Linked DNA regions of Oryctolagus cuniculus. The protein of the gene in region 4 interacts with the protein of the main gene of each other region in a pairwise test. Links are inferred from orthologs where the notes say so. Each region holds a gene or a part of one and is shown on either strand. Other genes may lie near its edges.

The links.
Region 1: the proteins of HTT (region 4) and PFN2 interact in binary tests that used the Homo sapiens proteins (3 or more experiments, as listed by UniProt). The link is inferred for Oryctolagus cuniculus from reciprocal best matches to the Homo sapiens genes HTT and PFN2.
Region 2: the proteins of HTT (region 4) and GOLPH3L interact in binary tests that used the Homo sapiens proteins (3 or more experiments, as listed by UniProt). The link is inferred for Oryctolagus cuniculus from reciprocal best matches to the Homo sapiens genes HTT and GOLPH3L.
Region 3: the proteins of HTT (region 4) and DNALI1 interact in binary tests that used the Homo sapiens proteins (3 or more experiments, as listed by UniProt). The link is inferred for Oryctolagus cuniculus from reciprocal best matches to the Homo sapiens genes HTT and DNALI1.
Region 5: the proteins of HTT (region 4) and PKM interact in binary tests that used the Homo sapiens proteins (3 or more experiments, as listed by UniProt). The link is inferred for Oryctolagus cuniculus from reciprocal best matches to the Homo sapiens genes HTT and PKM.
Region 6: the proteins of HTT (region 4) and EVL interact in binary tests that used the Homo sapiens proteins (3 or more experiments, as listed by UniProt). The link is inferred for Oryctolagus cuniculus from reciprocal best matches to the Homo sapiens genes HTT and EVL.
Region 7: the proteins of HTT (region 4) and TXNDC11 interact in binary tests that used the Homo sapiens proteins (3 or more experiments, as listed by UniProt). The link is inferred for Oryctolagus cuniculus from reciprocal best matches to the Homo sapiens genes HTT and TXNDC11.

What each region holds. Positions count from the first base shown.
Region 1 is NC_091435.1:131,456,337-131,460,598, reverse strand, and holds the start of PFN2 (profilin-2), read right to left. Parts: upstream 2,801-4,262; 5' UTR 2,413-2,800; coding exon 2,281-2,412; exon of another isoform or gene 2,172-2,280; intron 202-2,171; coding exon 9-201; intron 1-8. UniProt on the Homo sapiens protein: Binds to actin and affects the structure of the cytoskeleton. At high concentrations, profilin prevents the polymerization of actin, whereas it enhances it at low concentrations. By binding to PIP2, it inhibits the formation of IP3 and DG.
Region 2 is NC_091438.1:47,346,147-47,350,284, reverse strand, and holds the start of GOLPH3L (Golgi phosphoprotein 3-like), read right to left. Parts: upstream 2,801-4,138; coding exon 2,618-2,800; intron 1-2,617. UniProt on the Homo sapiens protein: Phosphatidylinositol-4-phosphate-binding protein that may antagonize the action of GOLPH3 which is required for the process of vesicle budding at the Golgi and anterograde transport to the plasma membrane.
Region 3 is NC_091438.1:135,210,829-135,214,831, forward strand, and holds the start of DNALI1 (axonemal dynein light intermediate polypeptide 1), read right to left. Parts: upstream 2,801-4,003; 5' UTR 2,757-2,800; coding exon 2,643-2,756; intron 2,257-2,642; coding exon 2,111-2,256; intron 340-2,110; coding exon 170-339; intron 1-169. Other genes in the region: SNIP1 (smad nuclear-interacting protein 1), read left to right, coding at 3,563-3,786. UniProt on the Homo sapiens protein: Involved in sperm flagellum assembly.
Region 4 is NC_091433.1:1,886,590-1,890,089, reverse strand, and holds part of HTT (huntingtin), read right to left. Parts: intron 2,377-3,500; coding exon 2,221-2,376; intron 1-2,220.
Region 5 is NC_091443.1:110,889,947-110,893,446, reverse strand, and holds part of PKM (pyruvate kinase PKM), read right to left. Parts: intron 1,049-3,500; coding exon 917-1,048; intron 547-916; coding exon 360-546; intron 1-359. UniProt on the Homo sapiens protein: Catalyzes the final rate-limiting step of glycolysis by mediating the transfer of a phosphoryl group from phosphoenolpyruvate (PEP) to ADP, generating ATP.
Region 6 is NC_091451.1:43,850,586-43,854,085, reverse strand, and holds part of EVL (ena/VASP-like protein), read right to left. Parts: intron 1,755-3,500; coding exon 1,694-1,754; intron 254-1,693; coding exon 187-253; intron 103-186; coding exon 40-102; intron 1-39. UniProt on the Homo sapiens protein: Ena/VASP proteins are actin-associated proteins involved in a range of processes dependent on cytoskeleton remodeling and cell polarity such as axon guidance and lamellipodial and filopodial dynamics in migrating cells.
Region 7 is NC_091450.1:25,052,147-25,054,840, reverse strand, and holds the end of TXNDC11 (thioredoxin domain-containing protein 11), read right to left. Parts: intron 1,239-2,694; coding exon 614-1,238; 3' UTR 501-613; downstream 1-500. UniProt on the Homo sapiens protein: May act as a redox regulator involved in DUOX proteins folding. The interaction with DUOX1 and DUOX2 suggest that it belongs to a multiprotein complex constituting the thyroid H(2)O(2) generating system.

The DNA.
Region 1 (4,262 bases), on a different chromosome or scaffold from region 4:
TCGCTTACCTCTGCCAGCTCTGCCCACAGCAACGTTGTACGTTGGCTCCCCACCTTGACTCTTTGTCCGGATGTCCATTGTGCAGTCCCCATCGACATATAGACTATCTCTGATCACTGAGCACTTCTTTGCGCCAAGAGTCAAGCCGTTGGTAAAGAAACCTTCTCGGTCTTTTCCTACAATCATATCTATTTCTCCTGGCTGCCCCAAAAGAAAAGAAAAAGGAAAAAAACCCATTAAGTTGTAGTTAAATCCGTTCAAGTCTCCACGTAAAGGGTCAGACTGTGCTCAGTTCACACTAGCACTACGAGAGGGCCACGTGGCACTAACGCGGAATCAAGAGTTGTCTCTTCCGCAAGATTACCCAGTCCCATGGACTACACGCTTTCTACCAGCTCATCTGCTTGCACAGTTCCCAGTGCGGTCAGTCTGTACAAAGAATCTCTCCAAGTGTCCGGCTGTTGACACTAGACAAACTACAAACCTGAGAGTTATTTATAAACCGTATCGAGTCAGGTGGTGCCTGAAGGTGTTTATGTCATGGTAAAGACTCGGCTAAAAACTCTTTCCTCAACAGCTTGTCTATCATATTTAGTCACATCGCAGTCATGTCACATCAAATTTAAAGTTGCCTGAAAGTCTCCCAAAATAAAGGCAGTGCTTGGCAGATCAGTTCACGTCCCTGCTGGGAAGAGCTGCCAATATCCCTCTGAGCGTCAACCCCTACACACCAGTGCATTTCCAAATTCGTATTTCCCTCCTGTTTTTCTAGCCACTACTTTTTTTTTTTCCTCCTAACTTCCCTTCCCCTCCCATCTCAGTAATCAGTTTTCTTTCTGGGCAAATGCAAAGCGGGTTCTGTCTACAGCACTGCAGCTGGCACCGGTAAAAGAACAGAGAAAATGGAGGGAGCTTGGGCAAGAAACTGAGGTAGCCAGCAGAACCGGAAAGGAGAAAGCGTGCATCCTAACATTCCATGAATAAGAAGGAAGGCGTCGCCCCCATCAGAACTGCAGAGTCATAGCAGGCCCCAGCCATTTCTAAGCACACTCCAGCAATCTTCCCAGCCAGACAGCGGGAACTCACACACAAAGACAAGAGGACTGCAGGGGAAAAAAAAAAGTTGATCATCAGATGCCAATTCTCCCTAAGAAATGTACTCCACTGCGGGTACCGAAGACCTTCCAGTGCTAAAATGAAGACCCCACTTCTACAGTTAGACCTCAAACCGTGTTAAGTAGCCAAGGACTAATTAATACTCCTAATAGGGGAGCGGAATTTTGGTATCTGATGGGAAGAGAGCTGGAGGCTGAGAGATTAAGGAAATGAGCTCGCATTTGATACAACTGTCACAATTTCAGAGGGAGCCTTGGGGAGACACAGGCGAAACAATAAGCAGTGCTCTAGGCTCAGTTTCAAATATTTCCGGAACATGTGGCAACCAAGTCAAAAGGATCAGTCAGGAGAAAAGCAGGCAGCGTGAGGCATAAATCTGCATCACTGAAGAGGGAGGGACTTGGAAAAGTCCAGGGGCCCCTCGCTCTTCAGATTACTGAGAGCCCATTAAAAGCACTCCCTTTTTAGAGCTATGTTGCGTAACGGGGGATAACGGTGTATCGATGAATCTCCATAGGCGGCGGAGAGAAATCAATGGCAGTTCGCCATCTTGGAGAATTAAAAAAAAAAAAAAACCTATAGAGCCAGTGCTGAAGTCGAGATTCACGAATCCACCTACGTGGTCCGCGTCCATTTCTCGCAAGCCCCAGAGGCCCAGACAGCGGCAAACCTACGCAAAGTCGCTTCGAGAATCCCGGGGGCCGGGCGGCCGCCGCCGCCACCGCCGCCTCCCACAGCCCCCGGCGCGGGCGGCGAGCGGGCGGGCGGCCCGGGCCCCCGGTGCACCCCCGCCGGGGCCCGACCCCCGCTTCCCACCCTAGGATGAGCGAAGCACAGCTCAGGGCTTGCAAGGGACCTAGAGAAAACGCACCGAGAAGAGAGGGGAAAGCCCCCTCCGGCCCACCCCGGCGGAGCGCGACCCCTCCCCCCACACGGGTGCCCAGGCGGCCGCCGCCCCCGCTGGTCAGCGCAGCCCCAGACAAGGGGGCGGCCCCGGGCCTCCGCCTCCCGCGCCGGCCACTTGCCGCATCCTCCGCGCCCGCCGCCCCGCACACCTGCCGGCTCGGCCCTCCAGTCCCGGCCCCTCGCTGCGGCGTCCACCCCAGGCCGGCCAGCCCCGGCTCGGGTGCGGGCACCGGGGTCCCGGCCGCCGCCGGTCCTCACCGTAATGCTCTGGAAGACGCCCCCAGCCGTGGCTGCCCAGACGTATTTGGCGTCGCAGTAGCCGACAATGGCGGCCTCCTGGCAGCAGCCATCGCACATCAGGTTATCCACGTAGCTCTGCCACCCGGCCATCTTCGAGCCCTTCGCACTGCAGCGGGGACGGCGAGCAGCAGCAGGCGCAGCGGCGGCGGCGGCGGCGGCGGGCGCGGGCGGCGGCGGGCGCGGGGGGAGGCGGGGCGGGGGCGGGGAGGAGGCGGCTCTGCGCAGGCACCGACCGCCCCCCTCCCCGAGGAGCTGCGGAGGGAGGACGCGGGGACGGCGGGGAGGGACGAGCCGCGGGGCGCGCCGACCCGGCCGCAGCCGCGGGGCCCACGAGCCGGCGGCGGGAGGCTGCGGAGCTGCTGTGGCGGCGGCTGTGGCGGCTGCCGCTCCTCACCGCGGCTCCCTCAGCTCTCCGCGGCCGCGGCGGGACGTGCGCGCGCGTGCGTGTGCGTGCGATCCTTCCGCGGCGCCCCGACACGGAGGGTCCCGGGCAGGCGCGGGAGGAGGAGAGAAGGGGGGAGGCTGGGGCGGGGGCGCGGAGGGATACCGCTCCGGGACAATCACGGCCGCCACGTGCGGCGGCGGCGGCGGCCGGCCGGCCGGGGAGCTGCTGGCCGCGGTGCCCAGGCTCGGGGGTCCGCAGCGGGGGCTTCTCCCGCGACGCAGCGGGCACCCCGGGGCAGCGGCGGCGGGGCGAGGGACCTCTCGGAGTCCCCGCGGCCGAGCGGCGTTGCGCGGCGCTCCGGCGCCCGGCGGCCCGGGATGCGGGTTTTTGAGCCTCGGTGTCGGGTTGCGGAGTTGCCCGGGAGACGGGATGCGGAGCGCTCGCTGCAGGCGGCGGCTGGCAGGGTCGCCCACGCCCCCTGTGAGGCGAGCTCCGCGGGCCCCTCTCCTCTGGAGCCCGCTCACCTCTCGGCCACCAAGGTTAGCCCAGCGGGCGCGCTCCTGCAATCAGAGCGGGCGCCCGGGCTCTCAGGAATGTTGCTGAGCTCTGCAGATCTTTCATTGTTGCCTCGTCTGGGTACCAGGGGCCTGGGATTCTGTGGATTCTCTGCGGGGAACAGCCCGCTTAGGGCTGTTAGTCGCTTGTGGGGCTGAAAGGCTCGTAAATTCCGAACAAAACGAATAAGAACGGTGTAACCTGTTTGTTAGCGAATGGGGAAGTTACCAATGGGGCGAAGAAACAGCTGAAAATACAAAGGATTGAACAGAACACCTCTGCTCTCTGAGGATGAAAAAGTCGGGACCCAGAGCTGGGAAAGGCTCGTACTGGGTGGACTTTGGTTGGAGACCAGCGGACCTTCTCGTGTCTGTAGTAACCTCTATGACTATACACGGAATTGGGAATGTCCCACATCGGGAACTTCAGTTTTTGGTTAACACAAGCACTCCGCCAGTTAAGGGAAAGAAAAAGGCGCCAGGACCTTGAACATCAGGCGTCCAACGTGACACCTACGGTGTAAGGTCAAAGTTTGTGGAATGGCAAAGATGGGAGTCAGTGTTGCTACACGAGCTAATTGGTCCTGAGGTTTCATGGTTTTTTTGCTGTTTGCTCTGAAATGTTCAGGGAAAAAACGACCGTAGGAGACCCACCTAGCCCTGCAAGTTAGGGACCTGTCAGGTCGACAGACAATACCTGTGTGGTACAAAACCTGAGCCAAAAGTTGTTCCATTTGTGCCTCTGTACCTCCCACCTGATTTAGTTACACTTACTCCTCGTTGAGTATGCCTGTGTTTTGGTGGTGGTGGTTGGCGGTTTTAATCCTTCAGTCTTAGCGTTGTCACCTTGAGAACTAACAAGAAGCGCGCTGGGAGGGTGGACGTACTACTCTTGAGAATCCACCAAACTGTATGTAGATGATTGGGGCGTGTCCTTACATGTGTTATAATGCAGGAAGTTTAAACATAAACAAAAAAAGTGATGGAAACGTTAAGAAGTA
Region 2 (4,138 bases), on a different chromosome or scaffold from region 4:
ATAAATATAGAAAGACAAATACAAGGGCAATTCTTCTACATCAAAGAAGCAAAATTCCTAGTGTCTAGCATCAGGTCATAAGGAAATTAATCAAAACTAGCTATTTAAAACTAAAATCAAGTAGCTTTTAGTTCTAAAATATTCTACAGTCAGGGAATGTTTCCTATGCATTGTATAAACATCTCAAAACAGTATTTATACCACCTAATCTTCAGTGGTACTCTAACATTCTTTTGCAGAGTTGGTTTTGCCTTTTCATTTACTTGCTCTTTATAAAATTGGAGCCTTATCAACTTTCTTAGCAAAGAGGAAAATAACTTCTAGGCGAAATTTTCTAATATAAGAGTACTTCAGAGAGTTCAAGGAAAAAAGAAATTAAAAGATGTTTTGTTACAAAAAAATTTTGAAATCCTGAATTGCTTCAAAAATGCATTTTCATGAACTTTTTGAGTACTCTTCATATGCATGGATGGAAACACTTTCATATACTGTGTTTTGGTCAAGTGCATATGAACGTGTTCCTAATATTAACAATACAGAGACTATAACAGTTCTAAGTTCTATTCAGGCTGGTAATCTGACATGACAAAAAACTGAGAAGGAAAAACAAAATGCAAAGCTGAGGAATCAATGTAGAAAGGAAGAGATGGTACTAGAGGTATAAACAGCCAATTCATTTTTAGCTTAGCACAATTATGGAAACCAAATACAGTATTTTCCTATATAAACTAACATTTTAATTGTCTAAGTTTTCCAAACTGAGGGCTAATAATAAATATTCCTCTGTTTACTTAAGACTTCCTTGGAGCCGGCGCCGCAGCTCACTAGGCTAATCCTCCGCCTAGTGGCGCCGGCACACTGGGTTCTAGTCCCGGTCAGGGCGCCGGATTCTGTCCTGGTTGCGCCTCTTCCAGGCCAGCCCTCTGCTGTGGCCAGGGAGTGCAGTGGAGGATGGCCCAGGTGCTTGGGCCCTGCACCCCATGGGAGACCAGGAAAAGCACCTGGCTCCTGGCTCCTGCCATCGGATCAGCGCGGTGCGCCGGCTGCAGCATGCCGGCCGCGGCGGCCATTGGAGGGTGAACCAACGGCAAAGGAAGACCTTTCTCTCTTTCTCTCTCACTGTCCACTCTGCCTGTCAAAAAAAAAAAAAAAGACTTCCTTGGAAAGAAAGCATATTGTTTAAAATATTACATCTATGTGTGTGTGGTTTTTTTTTTTTTTTTTTTTTTTTTTTTGACAAGCAGAGATAGACAGTGACAGAGAGACAGAGAGAAAGGTCTTCCCTTTTCCGTTGGTTCACCCCGCCAAGTGGCTGCTACAGCTGGTGTGCTGCGCCGATCTGAAGCCAGGAGCCAGGTGCTTCCTCCTGATCTCCCATGCAGGTGCAGGGCCCAAGCACTTGGGCCATCCTCCACTGCACTCCCGGGCCACAGCAGAGAGCTGGCCTAGAAGAGGGGCAACCGGGACAGAAGCTGGCACTCCAACCGGGACTAGAACCCCAGGTGCCTGCACCGCCGGTGGAGGATTAGCCTAGTGGGCTGTGGCGCCGGCCACATCTATATGTTTAAAATATTACATCTAAATGCCTTCATAACCTCTTTATGAGCAAAGAGAGAGATGGGAAAACATAGTAAAAAGTTAGATAACAAGCGAAAGATAGTGTACAGTATTAGTAGAAAAACCAGAGATATTTGGCTATATGCCAGAACATACTACCTCAAGACCAATTCTACTTTAAACCACATAATTCTATTAATACAGAAAAATTTAGAAAAAAAGTTACGCTGAAGCTATTTATAATTTTTTCTAAAATTAAAATAATTCTCATTTATCTTTTAAAGATCTTCGAGAAGAGAATTAAAAAATTACTACTGTTATACTACACTACAAAAAAATCTATCCATCATTTATTTCTGTAAGATAGCTAATCACACTTATTACTTATCTTTTCATTTAAGACTTTTTCTCTCCAAAGCTCAAAAAGACTTCAACATGTGGGCCCTATTTCTTATTTAAATGTGATTATTATTTCACTATCAAATTGTTTTGGGAAGCTACAAGTATAAAACTACATAGTGTATTATCCTCTTCTGTATCTTCTAAAATTTTGGAGTAACTTTGAAATTAAACTATACTTCAAGGATGGGCATTTGGTGAAGTGGCATCCCGTATCCCTGGGTTTCAGCCGTGACTCCACTTTCAATTCCAGCTTCCTGGTATTATGCACACTTTGGATCACAGCAGGCGATGGCTCAATACTTGGGTCCCTGGCACTCATGTGAGAGATCCAGAGTGAATTCTGGGCTCCTGGCTTCAGCTTGGCCCAGCCTTGGCTGTTACAGGCATTTGGGTAGTGAACCACTAGACAAGAGATCTCTGTCTCTCCCTTTCTCTAGCCTTCAAATCAACAAACAAAATTTAATTACACTTCATATCATTCCACTTCAGGATTTTAATTTCCAAGTATCATCCACCCTGCCAAATTCCTCTCCCAGATGGCTGGTTCACAATTCTAAGGCCAACTTAACCACTGACAAAAAGATTTCATCAGATTACTTGATAACCCATTCTAATATTGTAGTCTTTTGAGATAGCCTAGCAAACCTAATAGCATTACCTCTTTATCTTTTAGTCCCAGGAGCAATACTTCTTCCATAAGGGTGAGGCGTATATCCTTGGAGTCTCCAGGGTCTTCAGTGTCTGGATTCCTCTCTTGATTACAGTCTTCCTCACTTTCTACCTTCTTTTCAAAGTTCTTGCTTACTTCAGTGCGACGAGCCCGGTGAGTTAAAGTGGTCATTCTCACCTGTTTCTGGAGGGAGTGGCATAAAATTAAAATCCGTATGTGTGTGCTTATGTAATGACTAATAACTAGTATCATGCACTCAATTTGGAGATCACCTGTCTAGAGAACAACACTCAGAAAATCACATGCAGTAATTCCAGTCAGTAGACTCAGATCCCTAGCTTTAGCTAGCCATCTTGCAGACTTTGTGTACACAGTTGCTAACAAATAGAACCAGAAAGACAGTATCAAACTGTAACAATTCTTTCTCAATCAAAAAAAAAAAAATCAACACACATGCCTTTTACACCAAGCACCAGTTTAAGAAATCTTGTCAAAAGAAACTGCATTAAATAATCTGTGATAAAGTTATTACATTTTATACAAATCTAGATGCTCATTTTTAAGATGCTATACAACAAAGATTTTTAAGCTGAAATTATATAAAGAAAATATTTTTTGAGAACAAAAGGACAATATTTAACAGCCACTAAGATTGGAACCAGTTCTACCTCCCGGCAATATTTCCTATTACACTCCCTGTAAATACTTTCATCAAATACGTCTGTCCTGTGCTTTCTTTCTGCCTTTGTTCCTTTGTCTTTGCTGTGCTTCTCTCCCTTTTCCCTTCCTCTCTAAATTCTACCCATTCTTCAAAGGCCCACTGAAGACTCACTGAAACTTTAAGTGAATCTTTACCCATATGTCCCATGGCCAGAATTCATCTCTCCTTCACCTGTACTTTTGTAGAACTTTATTTATACTTACTTCCTTAAAACATTTATTATAGTCTGTCTTTTAGTATGGTTCTCTCAACTGTAAACTTCTTGAGGGCAGGAATATTGTCTTCTTGGGGTTTTATATCCTCCATAGCAACTAGCACATCTTTAACATTACAATTGCTCAATAAATATATATTGATTAAAACGAATACTCACAATGCATGTGGACGTTGAAAACAAAAATACAAGTGAAGTGACTTACAAGGCAGGTTGTAAAAGCGTATATTTCAAATATTTTTGGTGGGAGGCAGGAAGAAGAGTGAAGGAGGAAGAGAACCATGAAATAAATGTTTAAGGGCACTACCTTTACCTGGCACTGTGAATAGGGGCTATTTCTTAACTCAATCCAAAAAACTTTAAACCCTCTGGGAAAACAATAAAGGAGAATCTCCTTTGAGAAACTTATTTACCCTGGGCATTTACTAGTTAAAAATGAAATCTAGAAAAACAAACCAAATGGTCCCAAATATCTAAAACCTCCCTCTCCCCATAAAATAAAATAAATAATTTGAGGTGTTTTTTTTTTTTTTGGACGTTGGGAAATGAAATTTAGCCATTGCTTACCTGATAT
Region 3 (4,003 bases), on a different chromosome or scaffold from region 4:
CCAGGTTGTCAAGAGCAGAGCTAGGTGGGGGACTAGGGAGAGGCGGAGCTGGGAGTAGACCGTGCACTTGGCAGTTTCTGGGTGGGCCGGGCTGGGGGAGAAGAGATGATTCTGTTGGGGTGGGCTTCTGTGTGGGGGTGCAGTGCCCACCTCCCCCAGGCCCACTCACCAAAACACTGCGAGTAGAGCTCCCTGCGGACCGGGCAGATGCCGGTCTCCCTGGCCTGCCGCTGCTGCAGCTTCAGGTCCAGCTGCTCCTGCAGGTGCACCACGTCCATCCTGGTGCTGGGGGTGCTGGACACCTGCTGGATCCATAGCTGCGTGTCTTCTACCCACTCCCTGTGGCAGAGAAACAGCCAGGCTGAGCCAGACACACACCGACCTGAGCAGGGACTCCGAGCCCTTGGAGTTCTCTGCCTAAGCAAGAGTGAGGGGCAGCTCTGTCAGCTACCCATCAGGGTCCTCCAGGCCTCTCTCACCAACCCCACCATGCTGCCTCCATAGGCACTCTACTCTGGGTCTAGAGTAGGTGGGTGATCTCTGTGAAATCACCCATGCTCCAGCTCCCCCCCACCCCCTTCTTTTTTGACAGGCAGAGTGGACAGTGAGAGAGAGAGAGACAGAGAGAGGCAGAGAGAAAGGTCTTCCTTGTCCGTTGGTTCACCCTCCAAAGGCTGCTGCGGCCGGTGCACCGCGCTGATCCAAAGGCAGGAGCCAGGTGCTTCTTCCTGGTCTCCCATGCAGGTGCAGGGGCCCAAGGGCTTGGGCCATCCTCCACTGCCTTCCCAGGCCACAGCAGAGAGCTGGACTGGAAGAGGAGCAACCGGGACTAGAACCCGGTGCCCATATGGGATGCCAGCACTGCAGGCAGAGGATTAACCAAGTGAGCCCGTGCAGAGGTTCTTTAAGGTATGTGCCTGCATGGGCTTCCCGCAGTGAACTCTGCGATCCAGGCTCAGACCAATTCAGGAACCACAGTGAGGGGGTTTGGAGACAGAACCACCACAAGGGAGGGTGTTTCTATGCCATGGGGGAGGGAGAGAAGCAACCGAAAAGCCACCCTGCTCCTTTGACCTCCATCTTGGAGCTCAGAGTTTCCCCTTTCCTCATCGCCTTGCAAACTGTTCTGTGTGTTATTGCATAAGACATTAAAAGGGTGTGTCTGTGCTCAGTGTGGCTGCGGGAGAAAAAGGCCAGGGAAAGGGGTCGAGCTGGGCAGAGGTCTCAAGGAAGGCCTCCTGGGGGGAAACGTCATTGGAGCAAGGACCTAGCAGAAACACGCAGGGAATCACCCCAGGGAACCACCGGGGCCGGGGTGAGGGCGGATCGCAAGGGATCTGCGTGACTGGCAGTGAGGACAGCAACTGTCCAGGCCCTGAGTGGGGGCGGGGAGGACCGAGGTGTTTCAGAAACCCTTTGCCTTCACGAGAAGGAGGATTACAGGTGATAGGATTTGGGACTACAGCCCGGGCCAGATCATGCTTCAGGCTTCCGTGTGAGTGGCAAGGGACACCAGTTTCTGGCAGAGGAGTGGCACAGTCTGACTCGTGACTTAGAGGCTGCGTGGAGAACAGGCTGTTGGAGCAGGAGTAAGTGGGGTTTCCAGATAAGAGGCCAACGCTGAAGCGCAGGGGACGAACAGCGCCCGGGAAAGAGGTGGTGCAGGCAGAAGCGGAGAAAGTGGTTGGAAGGTGGGGCCAGAATCGTTTGCTGAAGGATACAGGACACAAAGACCAAAAGGAACAAAAAGTGGCCTGAGTTTCCCAGCAGAAAGGAGAAGATCGGGATGAGCGGTCGGGCGAGTGCGAAGCTGTGAGTGAGTGTGGACACACTGAGTGTGGGATGTCCACTGGACACCTTCACAGAGCTACTGAGGAAGTCCTGGAGTTTAGGAGAGAGGACAGGGCGGGAAATACACCTTTCAAAGATGGCATCCCCGGCCCTGAGGTTGGGTGGGAGCACTCAGGAAATGAGATGCGGTCTCCTGCCACCCTCTGGACTCGGCTCCAGGCCAGCAAGGGAGGAAACCCTGGCCAGGCACGGGGGCCGAACGCCTCTCCCCACACTACCAAAGTCTGGTCTTCTCCCAGCCTCTGCGCCCACGCTTTACCTTGGGGGCAGAATGGCATTCAAAATTTCTTCTGCCTGCTTTGTAGGATCTGGGACACAGGAAGTTGAGGGGAGCTTGGTCTTGGTTATCTGTGGGATTGGACTGGAGGGTCCCGGCTGCTGGGGGCTGGCTTTCAGTGGCCGAGCCTGGGAAGAGACGATTCAGGCCTTCAGCCCCCTGGACGCCTCCGGGTCTTGCGCACCCCCTCCCCTACCCCCAGCCCGTGAAGAGTCCCTGGTCCCAACGCAATGCGCGGACCAGTGTTTCTGGAGGAAGCGGTCAGGCGTCTGCGCTCCCACCTGTAGCGGTGGGGACATCGCGACCTGACCTGTCCTTGAACCCGACTACCGGGAGAGGAATCCCTACCGTCTGTCTCCCCGCGACCAGGTCTAACCTGCGGCGCTCACACCCAGCGACATCTGGACCACCCGGACCACTCGCTCCCTCTCCGCCCGTCCCAGGGCCCGTCCCCGGACTCCGGACTCTCGCCGCGGGGATCTGCCTGGCCCGGTCCCCCGAGGCCCGTCCTCACTTTGGGGCTCCGTTTCTCCGTGTTCCGGCTCACCAACACCGGGGTGTCGTACTTGAGCAGAGAGTCGGCCGGGGGGATCATGGCGGCGATGGGGGCCTGGTTTGCGGTCACCATGGAAACCGCCCCCCCTCCCGGCCGGGGCGGGGCCTCGGGTGGGCGTGGCGCGGCGCGCGGACGCGTCCCGCGCAGCCCTGGCGCTCGGCCCCGGCACTCGGCGTCTTAATCTTGCTGCCAGCCGGGTCGCCCGGGAGACGGGGGTTCGAGTCCCTGCGCTGCGTATAGCGCGCAACTTGCGTGATTGGGTAGATCCCCCTTCGCTGAGCCCCAAGATTGTCACCTCAGTGAAGGGCTGGAGACCATTCCCCAAAAGAGGGTCTCTGGAATCCCCAGGGCTTTAAAAAGTATTCCTCAAGGTTAAATGGCGAACTGACATAGCAGGATTTGTCCACGGGCTACTATGATTGCATTTTTGTATTTCCAAGGCCAAATGGAATCACGGTTGGCGCGCAGTTTCGTCGCCTTCCTCTACCGTGTCGGTCCGGGCTTTTTCCACAAAGCGGTATATGGTTCGTGATAACGTTACTAATAGCTACGTAATGCCCAGTGATTGGCTAAGGAGCCCCCTACAGCTGTACACTGAGGTTGCCCACATGCTCTGTAGTTACGCGGTGAAGAATTAACTTGAGAGGTTCGCTTTTCCCCAGTAGTTTGCTTTCCAAACTTAAAACTCCCGCCCTTCGGGCCGGCTCCCTGCAGCCCCGCCCACGGGGGGGGCGCCGTCACATGTTCAGCGCTCCGCCGCGAGGGTTGCTGGGAGAGCTCACACCCCGGAAGCGGAAGTCCAGAGGTCAAGCTCGTCATTTCCTTCGGAGAGAGTGGCTCAACGGACCTCTTTTCTTTTGCCCGACCCGAGTCGCAGAATGAAAGAGGTGAAGAGCGAGCGGGAGCGGAGGAGCCGGCGGAGGCACCGGGAGGGGGACGTGGCGGCGGCGGCGGCGGCGGTGGTGGTGAAGCAGGAGCGCCTCAGCCCGGAAGCCGAGCCGCCCGCCCCCCGCCGGCCGGACCTCGGCGCTACTCCGTCCCCGCCGGCCGGCGAGCCGGGCCGCCCTGGCCACCGCGGGAGCAGAGCCCGGGGAGAGAGCCGGTAAGCAGAGAACAGCCGGGGTGGACCTTGGGTCGGACTCATTGAGAAAAGAGCACAGGGCCGGCATCAGAAGTGGGTTCTGAATGCCGAGCCCAGCAGCGGGAGGCGGTGGGAGTGGCCGGGTCGCGCTCGGGTAAAGGCGTGTGTGCTCCGGTGCTGGTTACTTGCGTGACAGCTGGGGTCGAGCTGATGCCTGTGGGTCAGGGCCTCGCCCCCT
Region 4 (3,500 bases):
GAGAGGCCTGTGCACCAGGTTAGCCCCTCGCTGTCTGAGAGAGGCCTGTGCACCAGGTTAGCCCCTCGCTGTCTGAGAAGCCTGCACACAAGGTTAGCCCCTGGCTGTCTGAGAGAGGCCTGCGCACCAGGTTAGCCCTTCGCTGGCTCTGGGAGGGTGCCCACTGCCCACACGGGCCTCGGCTGCCTGTGCAGACAAGGGGGCTCATGCTGCACCTGCTGTCCTGGGAGTCTGAGGTTTAGAACGAGCCCGGCCGAGCGTGCCCACACGACCAGCCCCCCATGAAGACCCCGCACACGGAGTCCCTGCCGGGCTCCCCTGGCTGACTGCATGTCCTGTGTGTTGTCAGAACGTCTCGCTGGGGGACTGAGCATGAGCTGGGAGAGTCCACTGGGAGAGGATTCTGGGAGCTCGGCCGGTCTCCTTGGAACTTTGGCCCTGTGCCTTTTCTCTTTGCTGACTCTGCTCTGAACCCCTTCCTATAATGAATTTAAGCTGTGATCCCTTCTAACAAAAATATGGAGTCATCTTGGGGACTCTCGACAGCACTCGATGCTGCCTTGGTCCATTTCGCTCAGTCCTGTGAGTCCTAGTACAACGGGTCCTGTACACACCGAGACCCACGCGGCACTGTGCTCTGTAACAGTCGCAGGCAGTGGTGGGCGTGCTGCAACACCAGGTTCTCCACACCGTTTCCACGCAGAGTGGCTGCTGCTGGCTGACACCTTGTCTTGACGAGAGGCCGTGGCCATCCAGCTTTCTGTGGGAATTCTGCGTCCCAAGCCTCAGGCAGAAGGAGACGCTCCCTGCTTCACCCCTGGGCTGGGCCTGCCCGACTCCTCAGCCCCACTGCTGAAAACACGGCCCGCTGCCACCACGCGGGTGTCCCTGCCGGGGCTGAGGACGGCACGCTGCAGACCCTCACAGAAGATGGCCATCTTCCAGGGAAAAGCTGTGTGCACAGAACTCAGAAGCAGGGTCCAGGCGCCTTTCTGCCTCAGGATCTCTCTAGAAAATTGTTATTTCTTATTTCATTTATTTGATTTACATTTGCCTGGGGGCTCTGGGTCTAGCACAAAACACAGTGACAATGAAAAGTTAAGCCAGCCACTGGAACTCCCCACAGAGAAAAAAGGCCCCTTCCAGGGAGCTGCTTTGCCATCATTCAGGCAGCACCCAGAGGCACTGACTTTGAAGAACATGTTCACACCAGGAGACCCACACCCATTGTCTCTGCTCCCTGCGTGGCTCTGAGTCACTGGCACGGCAGCAGGCTGAAGGCCACCCACGACACCCTACCTGCTCCAGCACCCAGGCTCTGCCGGGACAGACCCCAGGAGGGAGCAGTGGGCAACAGGGCGAGCCCCCATCCTGTGCGACCTGGCACAAGTCAGCTAACCTCCGACCTCTGCTTTCTCAGGCTGCCTTTCAGATGTAGACGAGGCCAGGGGTGCGGGCATAGCAGGAGCGGCAATGTTCCTGCTGTCACACAGAGGAAAACGCGTGGAACACGGGGTAGCCAGGTACCCTCAAGCCCCCACCAGAGGCCTAAATGCTGACACACACAGTACTGAAGTGGCCACAGAACACGAGTGCCTTACAGTGTTGTAAGGACTGACGGCACTCATGGTTAGTGGTGCGTATAGCTGACGTGTGTGGCTGGCAGCCTTCCCATGGTGACACAGGCACAGGATCTGGTGCCGTAAGCACCGATGAGCTCAAGGCAGAGTAAGGAGGAACCGGAAGACACCATCTGACCCTTGCTAGGGCCCGAATGCTTGTGCCCCACCTCCCGCCCCCAACTCGCAGGCTGAAAACCAACTCCCAGTGTGACAGCACTCCGCGGGTGGGCTCATGCCACCCCAGGGACACGGCAAGCAGCGCCCCTCACTGTGCACAGAACCTGCTCGTGTCGTGCTCACGGGCTGGCTGTGAGCCATCCAGGCCAAGAGGCTTTGCCCCAGCAGCTCAACACCCAGTTGGCCCTGGCGCCAACAACACGTCACAGTGCCCAGACCTGGGAGCAGGAATGCAGGCCGCTGTGGCAAACGCAAGCGGCACAGAGGGACTGGGCGTGCACTGGGCCACCGGCAGACCGTGGAGAGGCCGTCGTGCGGCTGCAGGGACCATCTCTGTGAGGAGTGTGGAACGGCAGCAGCAGAACTGGATGCTCTGAGCTGAAGACTAGCCGGGGAACCGGCAGCAGGGCGTGCCACTCACCATGCCGAGGACAGCAGCTGCCTTGCAGGTGGCAGGCACCAGGTACTGGATGAGAATCTCGTCTTCCGAAGGGTGCACCCTCCGCAGCTCGGTCAGCGTCGCATACATCATCTCAAACTGGTTGCGTTCAGTGAACAGGTCTGAGACCACAAGAAGCTGGAGGGGGAGTGTCGGGGAGGAAGGGAAGACTACGCAATCAGAAAGGCAGGCGGTGCGGCCCGACGCGCCAGCGACGACAGGCTACCTTCGAACGCTCACAGGTGAGGTGCGGGAATGCACAGGAACCCCAACCGAGAACCTAAAAACCTAACACGGGGGCCGGCGCCGTGGCTCACTTGGTTAATCTTCTGTCTGCAGCACGGGCATCCCATATGGGCACTGGGTTCTAGTCCTGGCTGCTCCTCTTCTAGTCAGCGCTCTGCTGTGGCCCGGGAGGGCAGTGGAGGATGGCCCAAGTGCTTGGGCCCTGCACCGGCATGGATGACCAGGAAGAAGCACCTGGCTCCTGGTTTTGGATGGCACAGCGCCAGCCATAGTGGCCATTTGTGGGGTGAACCAGCGGAAGGAAGACCTTTCTCTCTGTCTCTCTCTCACTATCTAACTCTACCTGTCAAGTAAGTTAAAAAAAAAAAAAAGTGGAGTTCTGGGACTTCAACCCAGACACTCTAAAAACAAAACCTAAACACAGAACATGAAGAAAACCCCGTCACTGGCACCCACGCCTGCCCCAGAGGGCAGCCCTGGCACAGCCAGCGCCCACATGGGAACAGTGAAAGGGCTACTTCTGTGATGGCTCCCAAGGATAGGACCTCACCACCACACAGGAGGAGTCAGGCGGACAACTACTTGTTGAGAAGTAAGTGTGGTTTTTTTCAGGTGAGCTTCCAACACCCTCTTTCTCTATTTTTTTTTTTTAAAGATTTATTTATTATTTGGAAGTCAGAGTTAACATACAGAAGAGACAGAGAGAGGGAGAAAAAGATCTTCCATCCGCTGGTTCATTCCCCAGATGGCCACAATGACTGGGGCTGGGCCAGGCCAAAGCCAGGAGCCAGAGGCTTCTTGCAGGTCTCCCACGTGGGTGGCAGGAGTCCAAGTATTAGGGCCATGTTCCATTGCTTTCCCCAGGCCATCAGCAGGGAGCTGGATCAGAACTGGAGCAGCTGGGACATGAACCAGCATCATAGGGACGCCAGCAGCTTATCTGCTATGCCACAATGCTGGCCCCTTCTCTAAGGTTCTACTCCTAACATTACACCTAAAATCAGAACTCAATCATG
Region 5 (3,500 bases), on a different chromosome or scaffold from region 4:
GCCACTTGGGACGCCTACATCCCATAGTGGAGCGCCTCGTTCAGCTGCTGATCCGGCTCCCTGCTGACACAGCTGGAGGCACAGCTGATGGCCCATCCACGAAGGAGACCTGGCTCCTGCCTTTGGTCCTGGATGCCGTGGGCACCCGGGGAGTGAACTAGCAGACAGAAAATCTGTCTTCCCCTTTCTGTCAATCTACCTCTCAAATAAACAGAGCTCACCATACCACCATCTCTCCGCCAGACAACCAAGCTTCCTACCTCCCTACCTTCCACGAGCCCCGCAAGTCGGGAGGCCGGAGGAGCTCTCTGCCTTTGCTGTCCTGAGGCCGGGGTGCTGCTCAGGCTGGCGATACGCACCTTTCTGCTTCACCTGCAGGGAGATGAGGCCGTCGTCCACGTAGACCTTGCTGCCCACGTCCACCACCTTGCAAATGTTCTTGTAGTCCAGCCACAGGATGTTCTCGTCGCACTTCTCCATGTAGGCGTTGTCCAGCGTGATCTTGAGCGTGGCTCCCTTCTTCAGCTCCACCTCCGCCGTGCCGCTCTGGACAGGAGAGTGAGCGAGAGTCCAGCTGGCAGCCAGCGCCCCCGCCTCCCTAGCACAATGTCTGAATCTCAGAGGAATCACAAAGCTTGGCCCTTGGTGAACAGATGCCCTTCTCTAACTTAGCACATCCGAGGAAACAGCCAAAGACAAAGGCCAACACGTTCTGTTGCGTTACTTAAAGACGGCCAAGACACACAAAGAAACTGCTTCTCAAAGCCAGAAGTCAGTTTTTAGACTAAAAAAAAAAAAGATCCTTTTGTGGTACCATGGAATCCACATTTACACTTGACCTGAATTCTAAAACATGGCAGCACCCAGCAAACACCACAGACACGCCCTGGGCTCCCCGTGTCCCAAGGATACTCACGCCCTTGATGAGCCCCGTTCGGATCTCGGGTCCCTTAGTGTCCAGAGCCACCGCGACGGGCCGGTAGAGGATGGGGTCTGAGGCAAAGCTTTCCGTGGCTGTGCGCACGTTCTTGATGGTCTCCGCATGGTACTGGGGGAGGGAGAAGAGGACAAGTGTCCTCCCACGCTCGGGCCAGCTGGCATCCCTGGGGCTGGGAGCCAAAGCTGCATCGCCCACCTCGGCCGCCGTCCGCCCGAGCACCCGCAGCCTCTCCGCACCTCCACCACGGCACGCACTCAGCAGAGGCCACTGCCGCCCAGAACCACACAAGCAGCAGCACCTTCGGGCTGTGCTCTTTCCCCTAAGACAACTAACAGGGCAAGACGACTGGGGCAGAAGAACCAGGGCAGGTGTGGGTGAGACCGCCGGGCAATCAGCGCAGAGCCTGACAGAGGTGGCCAGGGCGAGGGCCCTCTCCCACGGATTCCAACCACAGTTCCAACACCAGGTTGTGGACTTCACGTGAAAGCTCAGGTAGGTCACGAGAGCTGGCTGCACCCTCCCTTCCCAGGGTGTGGCCTGAGAGGAGAGGAGCAGGCCAAGGTGCTCTCAGGCCCCTCTCCGCACCAACTGCCCTGGCAGCACATCCTGGCTCCCGTCTCTCTCCAAAGCCCTTTCTTCCTCACTTGCCAGTACTGTTCAATCAAAAAGGCAGTCAAAGCCGAGATAAGATGTCAAAAGGGCTCCCAGATAGGGTAATCAATACGGCACTGCTGATAACAGGGCACCTTGCTCAGCACTTCATGGGCTTGGCCTTTAACCACCACTGTCTGGGCAACAGCAGCTGCCAGCAGGCCTGGGACGCTGGAAGGTACCAGGAGCCAGAGCCGTCTCCAGGGACGACACTGCCCAAAGCTGTCTGACCACCGTGAGCTTCTAACTCAGGCACTCTCTGCAAGGAGCGACCACTGGCTCCACTTTCTATTCTGCAGAGGTTCTACATTCTTCGTATTGCTGGTTTGCAATAGAAATCATTTACTTATAATTAATTTATTTTCACTTTTTATTTCAAAGGCAGAGAGAGAGATTATCTTGCAGCTGCTGGGTTCACTCCCCAAATGCCTGCAATTGTCAGGAGCCTACAACTCCATCCAGGTCTCCCGCATGGGTCGCCTCCCAGGATATGCACTAACAATAAACAGTTGGAAGCAGAGAAGCTGGGACTTGAACAATGCACTTAGATATGAGATGTGGACATTCCAAGGAGCAACTTAACCTCTGAACCAGACACCCAGTCTGGAGATAGTTCTGGTGTGGTTTTTTTTTTTTTTTTTTTTTTTTTTTTGTAAAAAAGGAACGGATTGGCCGGCGCCACAGCTCACTAGGCTAATCCTCTGCCTGTGGCACCGGCACCCTGAGTTCTAGTCCCGGTTGGGGCGCCGAGTTCTAGTCCTGGTTGCTCCTCTTCCTGTCCAGCTCTCTGCTGTGGCCCAGGAGGGCAGTGGAGGATGGCCCAAGTTCTTGGGCCCTGTACCCGCATGGGAGACCAGGAGAAGCACCTGGCTCCTGGCTTCAGATTGGTGCAGCACGCCAGCCACAGCAGCCAATTTGGAGGTGAACCAATGGAAAAGAAAGACCTTTCTCTGTCTCTCTCTCTAACTCTGCCGGTAAAGAAAGAAAGAGAGAGAGGCAGGGAGGGAGGGAGGGGTGCTGAATATTACCAAATACCTTTTGTTCTGAGGACTAAAATAACATGAAACTCAGAAGAGTCAAGCACACAGGAATTATTTAATAACTCTATGTTCCCACAATAAAATTTACTTGGCCACCAGTCAAGAAATTCCTTTAACAGAGGAGAGGGAGTGGGAGATCTTTCATCATTGGTTCACTCCCCAAGTGGCTCCAATGGCTAGGGCTGGTCCAGGCTGAAGCCAGGAACCTCACTCTATCCTGGGTCTCTATGTGGGTGACCAGGACCCAAGTACTGAGGCCATTACTCCCAGGCACACCAGCAGGAAACTGGATCAGAAGTGGGGCCAGGGGCTGGTGCTGCGGTGCAGTGGGTTAAATTTCTGGCCTGCAGTGTTAGAATCCCCTATGGGCACTGGTTCGAGTCCCAGCTGCTCTACTTCAGATCCAGCTCTCTGCTGGTGCATCTGGGAAAGCAGTGAAGATGGCCCAAGTGCTTGGGCCCCTGCACCCACATGGGAGACCCGGAAGCTCCTGGCTCCCAGCTTGGGATCAGCTCAGCTCCAGCCACTGTGGCCATCTGGAGAGTGAACCAGCAGATGAAAGACTCCTCTCTTCTTCTGCCTCTACCTCTCTCTGTAACTCTTTCAAACAAATAAAATAAATCTTTAAAAATAAATAAAGAAAAAAGTAGAGCCAGTGAGACCCAAACCAGTGCTCTGATATGAGGTGTCTGGGTCCCAGTGGAGGCTTAAGCCTCTGCGCCACAATTCCCTCCCCATCCTCGTATTCTTTTTTTTTTTTTTTTTTGACAGGCAGAGCGGACAGTGAGAGAGAGAGAGAGAAAGGTCTTCCTTTGCCGTTGGTTCACCCTCCAATGGCCGCCGCGGCCGATGCGCTGTGGCCAGCGCAC
Region 6 (3,500 bases), on a different chromosome or scaffold from region 4:
CGGCACCTGGGGGCGCGTGGCGGGAGGGGTGTCCGGTACCTAGAGTGAGGCTGCGACTGAAGGGGGCTCTTAGCTTCAGGGCTCTTGGCCAAGGACGGGCTTCTACGGCAACGGAACGAAAGACACGTGAACCGGCGCGCCTGCGAGGCCCCCGGGCCGCGCCACTCGGCCTCCCGGGCCGCTCACCTGGACAGGAGGGAGGACACAGGCTTCTCCACCGAGTTGCTCCGCTCCCAGGGCTTCCGGCCAGGCTCTGTCAATCACGGGTGATGGAGAACCTCAGGGCCGGGGGGACCCGGCGGCCGCCGAGACCTGGCTCCTTGGCCTCAGGGCCGCTGCAGCCGGGGCAGCCCCTGTGTCCCCTGTGCCGGGCACTAGTGTGTCCAGGAATTGGGGTCCCCTGACAGCTGCCCAGGGCTGGCCGGGCCCTGCAGCCCCATTCGCGCTGCTGTCACCTGACGCCCCCAGGCTGCCCACACACTGCATCTCCGCTTTCCTGTCCTGGCGGCAAAGCTGGCTTAGCTTCCATTTTCTTTTTAGAGTTGTATGGATTTATTTGAAAGTGGCAGGGAAAGAGGGACAGATGCCCACACGCAGATCTTCTATCTACTGGTTCACTACCCAGATGCCCTCAAAAGCTGGGGCTGGGCCAGGCTGAGGGGCTGAGGCCGGGAACCCAGAACTCCTTCCACGTCTCCCCTGTGGGTGGCGGGGGCCCAGCCGTCTCCCACTGCTGCCCAGGACTCACGAGCAGGGGCTGGATTGGAGCTGGAGGAGCCAGAACTCGATGTGGCGCTGTGATGGGATGCCGGCCTGGGGAAAAATGGCTTAACCTGCTGCGCCACAGTGCTGGCACTGCTGCCAGAGATCTGTTGAATTCACTGACTGCAGGATGAGCAGAGGCAGAAGCCTGAATGGTAGCTGCAGCCAGAGCCCCGAGCCCTGCGTCCACACCACAGCCCAGGTCCGTGGCCCTGGGCAACCTGCTCGACCACGGGGCCTCCACTCTGGGCTGCTCTGCTGTGCAAATAAAGACACGGACGTTGCTTCTGGTCACTGGCCAAGAACCAGTGGCTCTCGGCAAATCGGCCCCCAGGCAAGTCCCATAAGGAGACGGCTAGGGTGTGCCTTCTTGGAGGAGTGGGATGAGCCACTGCGGGCGCAGGGACAGGTGGGGTGAGCAGCTGGCAGAGCTGCCCCGGCCTGGCACAGGCCAGATGCCGAGCAAGGGTTTGCTGGATGACTGAACAGCCAGCCCTGGGTCTTCCCACAGGAAGCCTCTTCTCCCTCCCCAATTCCGTCTCCTGCGGTGCAGCTCATGGGGGTGACAAGAGCAGGGTTGGGGCTGCTTCTGGCAGAGCAAGCGGGATCGGTAGCGCCAATCACCTGGCTGGCATTTGGCAGGGGACATGGACCCTGACATGTAAACACTCCTCCGAGCCCTAGACGCAGCCTCGCGCCCCTGGATCTGAGCTGTCAGGGCCAGCACCCTCCCTCTGGTGGGACGCAAGGTCCCCAGGAAGTGAACACTGGTTTGCTCAGACGGGACATCGTCGTGGTCAGGCGGTGCCTGTGGGGACCCACAGGAACTGGCTTCCCTCTGCTCGCACACAGGGAAGGGGTGGGGCCAGCTTGTCCTCTTCCTCCCACTCCAGGGCCTCGTGTGGGCGGGGCTCTGCTGGGCGCCCCTTACCTGAGTTAGGAGGCTGGCTGGCTGCCCGTGTCCCCGGAGAAGGCGAGGTGTTAGGATCTTCCTGCAGAGGAAAAGTCGGGCTCTCCCATTAGTCTGCCCCAGAGCCCGCTGGGCGCAAGCTCAGTTAGAAGCCTCAGTTTCCCAAACATTCGCAGTGGACGTGTAGCGCTCTTAGAGTCAGTAAAGAATATTATTAAAAAAGGAAAACCGGCCGGCGCCGCGGCTCACTAGGCTAATCCTCCGCCTAGCGGCGCCGGCACACCGGGTTCTAGTCCCGGTCGGGGCGCCGGATTCTGTCCCGGTTGCCCCTCTTCCAGGCCAGCCCTCTGCTGTGGCCAGGGAGTGCAGTGGAGGATGGCCCAGGTGCTTGGGCCCTGCACCCCATGGGAGACCAGGAAAAGCACCTGGCTCCTGGCTCCTGCCATCGGATCAGCGCGGTGCGCCGGCCGCAGCGCGCCGGCCGCGGCGGCCATTGGAGGGTGAACCAACGGCAAAAGGAAGACCTTTCTCTCTGTCTCTCTCTCTCACTGTCCACTCTGCCTGTCAAAAAAAAAAAAAAAAAAAAAAAAAAAAAAAAAAAAAAAAAAAGGAAAACCGTGACTTCACGGGGCGCCCACGCCACCCCGGGGAGAGCAGCCTGGGGCTCCTCCTGGACCCTCAATTGCACTGCCCAGGCCGGGTCACCTGGGGGCCAGATGCTTCACACGCGTGTCCTGCTGACCTCTCGCCGGCACCATGTGGAGCGATCCACTCCTGCACGTGTGCCGCTCGGGAGCAGCTTCAGTCCTGGCCACTGAAGTCTGAGTGGCAGCCTCTCCCTCCTGGGGCGTGGCCCACTCCTGGGCTAAGGGGCGGGCTGTTGCTCAAGGACCAGGGGTCTGGCTGCAGAGACCTGGCAGCAGCAGGCACAGGGACGTCCTAGGGACGTGCTTGGGGAGGACCTCAGGTGCACCCCTACTTGTTTCACCAAGGCATCTGTCCCAAACGCCTGCCTCTCCCAGCTCACTCCATGCTCACCAGCACTGTGGCCACAACGGGAGCCTGAGACCTAGCTCTGACCTCTCAGCCCTACTGCCTGCGGAGGTGGCCTGCTGGGGACAGGCAGGGCCCTGGGGGCCTCCGCCCCTCGCCAGCTCCCTGCCCTTCTGCGCCCAGCAGGTCTTGCACTTGCTCCTGTCCCAGCCCTGCCCACTCCAGCTCCTCCTACAGAGCTTCTGGCAGATACCAGTGGCCACGGGGCCTTAGGGCCGTGGGAGAGGCTGCTCCCTGGGACTGCATGGCGCTGGTGCTGCTGCTCTCTGCCCTTGTCACGTTCTTTGTTAACTGTCTGCCTCCCCAGGGCGCTGTGAGTTCCCCCAAGGGCAGAGGCTCCTGTGTCCCATGGACTCTGGCTGCCCACCCCACGGCACGCGAGGCCACGGAGGCTGGAAGTCATGCGTCCGCCCTGTGGTGCGGTGAGCCTGCAGCAATGCTCACCAACAGCGGGGACCGCTTATGGCCATCACATACCACACACATTCTGGGGAGACGTCTCATGGTCAAGAAAATGGACTTATGACGTAGCAGCAATAACTGCTATGCAGAGCCAGGCAACCTCCGGGGACCACGCAGGGGACTCGTGGGCTGCACTGCCCTTGTCCCTCATGTGGTCCAGGTGCGGCCGCCTGCAGACCCAGGACCCTGGGCTCAGTGCTAACACGGCAATCCTGTGGGAGGCCAGGGCCACGCTTGCTCCCACAGGAGCCCTGCTGGGAACAGGCCCCACCCAAGCATGTGTGTGGTGTGTCCATCAGCACGCTAGGGTCTT
Region 7 (2,694 bases), on a different chromosome or scaffold from region 4:
TAAATCCGATTCTGGAATGATTAAAGGCCGCTTTGTCATCAGTCTCACTGTGGAGGTTTCTTAGCGCCCTCCCTGGTTGCCGGGAACATCCTGGCACTTGCATGGGGCTCCCGGGAGCGTGGTGGCGGCGCTGGGTGTGGATCAGGCGAGCCAGGGCCCTGGTGGGAGGGCTGTGGGCCAGCTGCAGTGTGCATTGTTTGTGTTATCAACAGCTACTTTAACAGACACCAGAGCCACACTCGCGTCACGACCTCTGAATTCTCGCACAGCCCAGCTGTTGCGTTCGAGTTTTGACTTGTCAAGAAGTTAACCTGTCATGCTTCCTCTCCTCCCTCACAGAGGCAGGGGTGGGGGTGGGGCGAGAGCCGACAGCCGCTGCACGGACTGGTCTTCAGACAGACCTCGCAGGGCACCGCGCCACTGCTGTCTCAGCGCGACCGCGTCTGTGGTCTGGGAGGGACGTCGCCCCTGTGGAACAAGCTAAACGGCATTCAGTCTGATTTTGCAGACCACTGAGAAAATCTTTATTTACAATAAATTTCAGTGAAATTTGCATAAATATATTCCCAATGTTCAGTTTTCACCTCTGATTTCTTCATGTCATTTAAAAAAGTTACTCTGTCCTGTTCTCGTTACTCCTCTCGGACGCCAGCGTGGAGCTGACGTTGGGAGGTGGCAGGGGGGCGCCTGCGGGCTGGGGAGGGTCAGGGCCTTCCTGTGGCAGGGCAGCCGTGTCCTCCGCCCCGTCCTGGCCCTCCAGCTTCCTCTCCATGGTGGCCACCAGGATCTTGAGCCACGCGTTCTCAGCCAGCAGCGTCTCCGAGGCGTCGGCCAGCTCCTGGAGCTGCCGGGCCAGCGCGGCCAGCTCGCGGCTCTTCTGCTCGTGCAGGGCCTGCAGCTGCTGGCTGTGCCGCCGGAGCAGGCGGTGCTGCTGCTCCAGGGCCTGCTGCTCCCGCTGCAGCCTGTGCTCGTCCCGGCGGGCGCGCGACAGCTGCACCTCCACCTGCACCTGCGCCCGCTGCAGGCTGCCGATTTCCGCCCTCAGTTTCTGGATCTCTCTCTGCAGCTGGGAGATGTGCCCCTGTTGCAGTGCTGCCTCGCTCTGGACACAGTCCTTGGTAGGAGGGCTGGCCACGTCCTGGCTGGAGGAAGCGGGGGCCGAGTGGTGCAAGATGAACCTCAGCAGATTTGGAAGGGTGATGGGGAGGTCTTCGGGGTATTTCACGCTGAGGTCCTTCCTGGGGAGACAGGGGGAGGAGTCAGAGGTCAGAGTCTGCCGACACACCCTGCCCCGACCTCAGCTCTCCCAGGAGTCGGGCCATCCGCTGATGACCACGAAAAGGAAGATGCTGCCTTGGCAGAGAACTGCCCCACCGAGCTGCGGACAAGGCCCTGCGCGTGTCCTGCGACCACGGTGGCTCCTACTTCCCTAAGGACGGAGCTGCTTCTGGACACAGCATTTCGGGAGAGAGGGGCTCCCAGGCCTACGGACACCAGCATTGTGTGAGCAGGACCCTCTATGCCCTGGGAGGCCCCATGGCCATGTCAGGAAGGGTGTCCTGGGGCAAGACTTGTCCACGACACTCATGACCATAGACAGTGCAGGGCGAAAAGAAAAAAAACCCGACACACTGCCCGTCGTTAGTAAGCATTTACTCACACTGTGGGGCCCTGGGCAGCGTGATCTGGCCGCAGCCCAACCAAGGCGCTCTGCGGAGTTAAGGCTGCTGCCCTGGGGACGCAGCAAGGTGGCGTCCGAGGGCCCCCCACCCCAGACTTGTTCCAAGTCCTTTTAGAACTGGTCGTTCAGTCGTCTGTCAGCCAGTGCGTCTCACAGATGTACGTATGGGTGCGGGCAGCATCTGGCCACTGGTGTGTGTTTCTGTGTGAGCTGGGCCAGTGTGCACGTGTGAGCCAGCCAGGACCACGGAAGCACAGGTCAGGAAGAACACCTCTGTGCCTCCTGCCACCTGCCACTGCCCCCAGTGCTTCTCCGCAGGCCAGGAGTCCCGGCCCGTAAATGGGGACCTCCTGCTGAAGGGAGTGCTTTTCCAGAACTCCACTGTTCTTGGGAAGCCACTAGTTACCAGCTCAACTCCCTCTGCACACACAAAGCCAGAGGCCAGACACCCAAAACCCACCGAAGAGGTTCCAGTCCTGAGTAGCCCTTTTCCGACCAAATCACAAAGAAGTAAAAGTCAGGTTTTGGGGGCTGGCGTTGTGCGCAGCGGGTTAAGCCGGGGCTGGTGTGTGCGCAGCGGGTTAAGCCGGGGCTGGTGTGTGCGCAGCGGGTTAAGCCGCCACCCGCGACGCCAGCATCCCACATAAGAGCACCAGTTTGAATCCAGCACCCTACTCCTGCCTGGGGAGGCAGTGGATGATGGCCCAAGCGTGGGAGACCTGAATGGAGACGTGGACAGGACGAGAACAGTGCGGAGTGAGTCTCCAGTGGGCACGCTAGAAGGCACTCCACCGTTTCTAAGTTGCAAGAACACAGTCGCAACCAACTTTCCAGAAGAGGAGTCATTTTGAAAGTGTGGCGTTAAAAAGTCCCACTGCTGGGGGCTGGCACTTAGCCTAGCAATTAAGACACCGGTGAGGGTGCCTACATCCCACATCAAAGTGCGTGGGTTCAACTCCCAGTTCCGGCTCCTGACTCTGGCTTCCTGTTAATGTGCACCCTGGGAGGCAGCA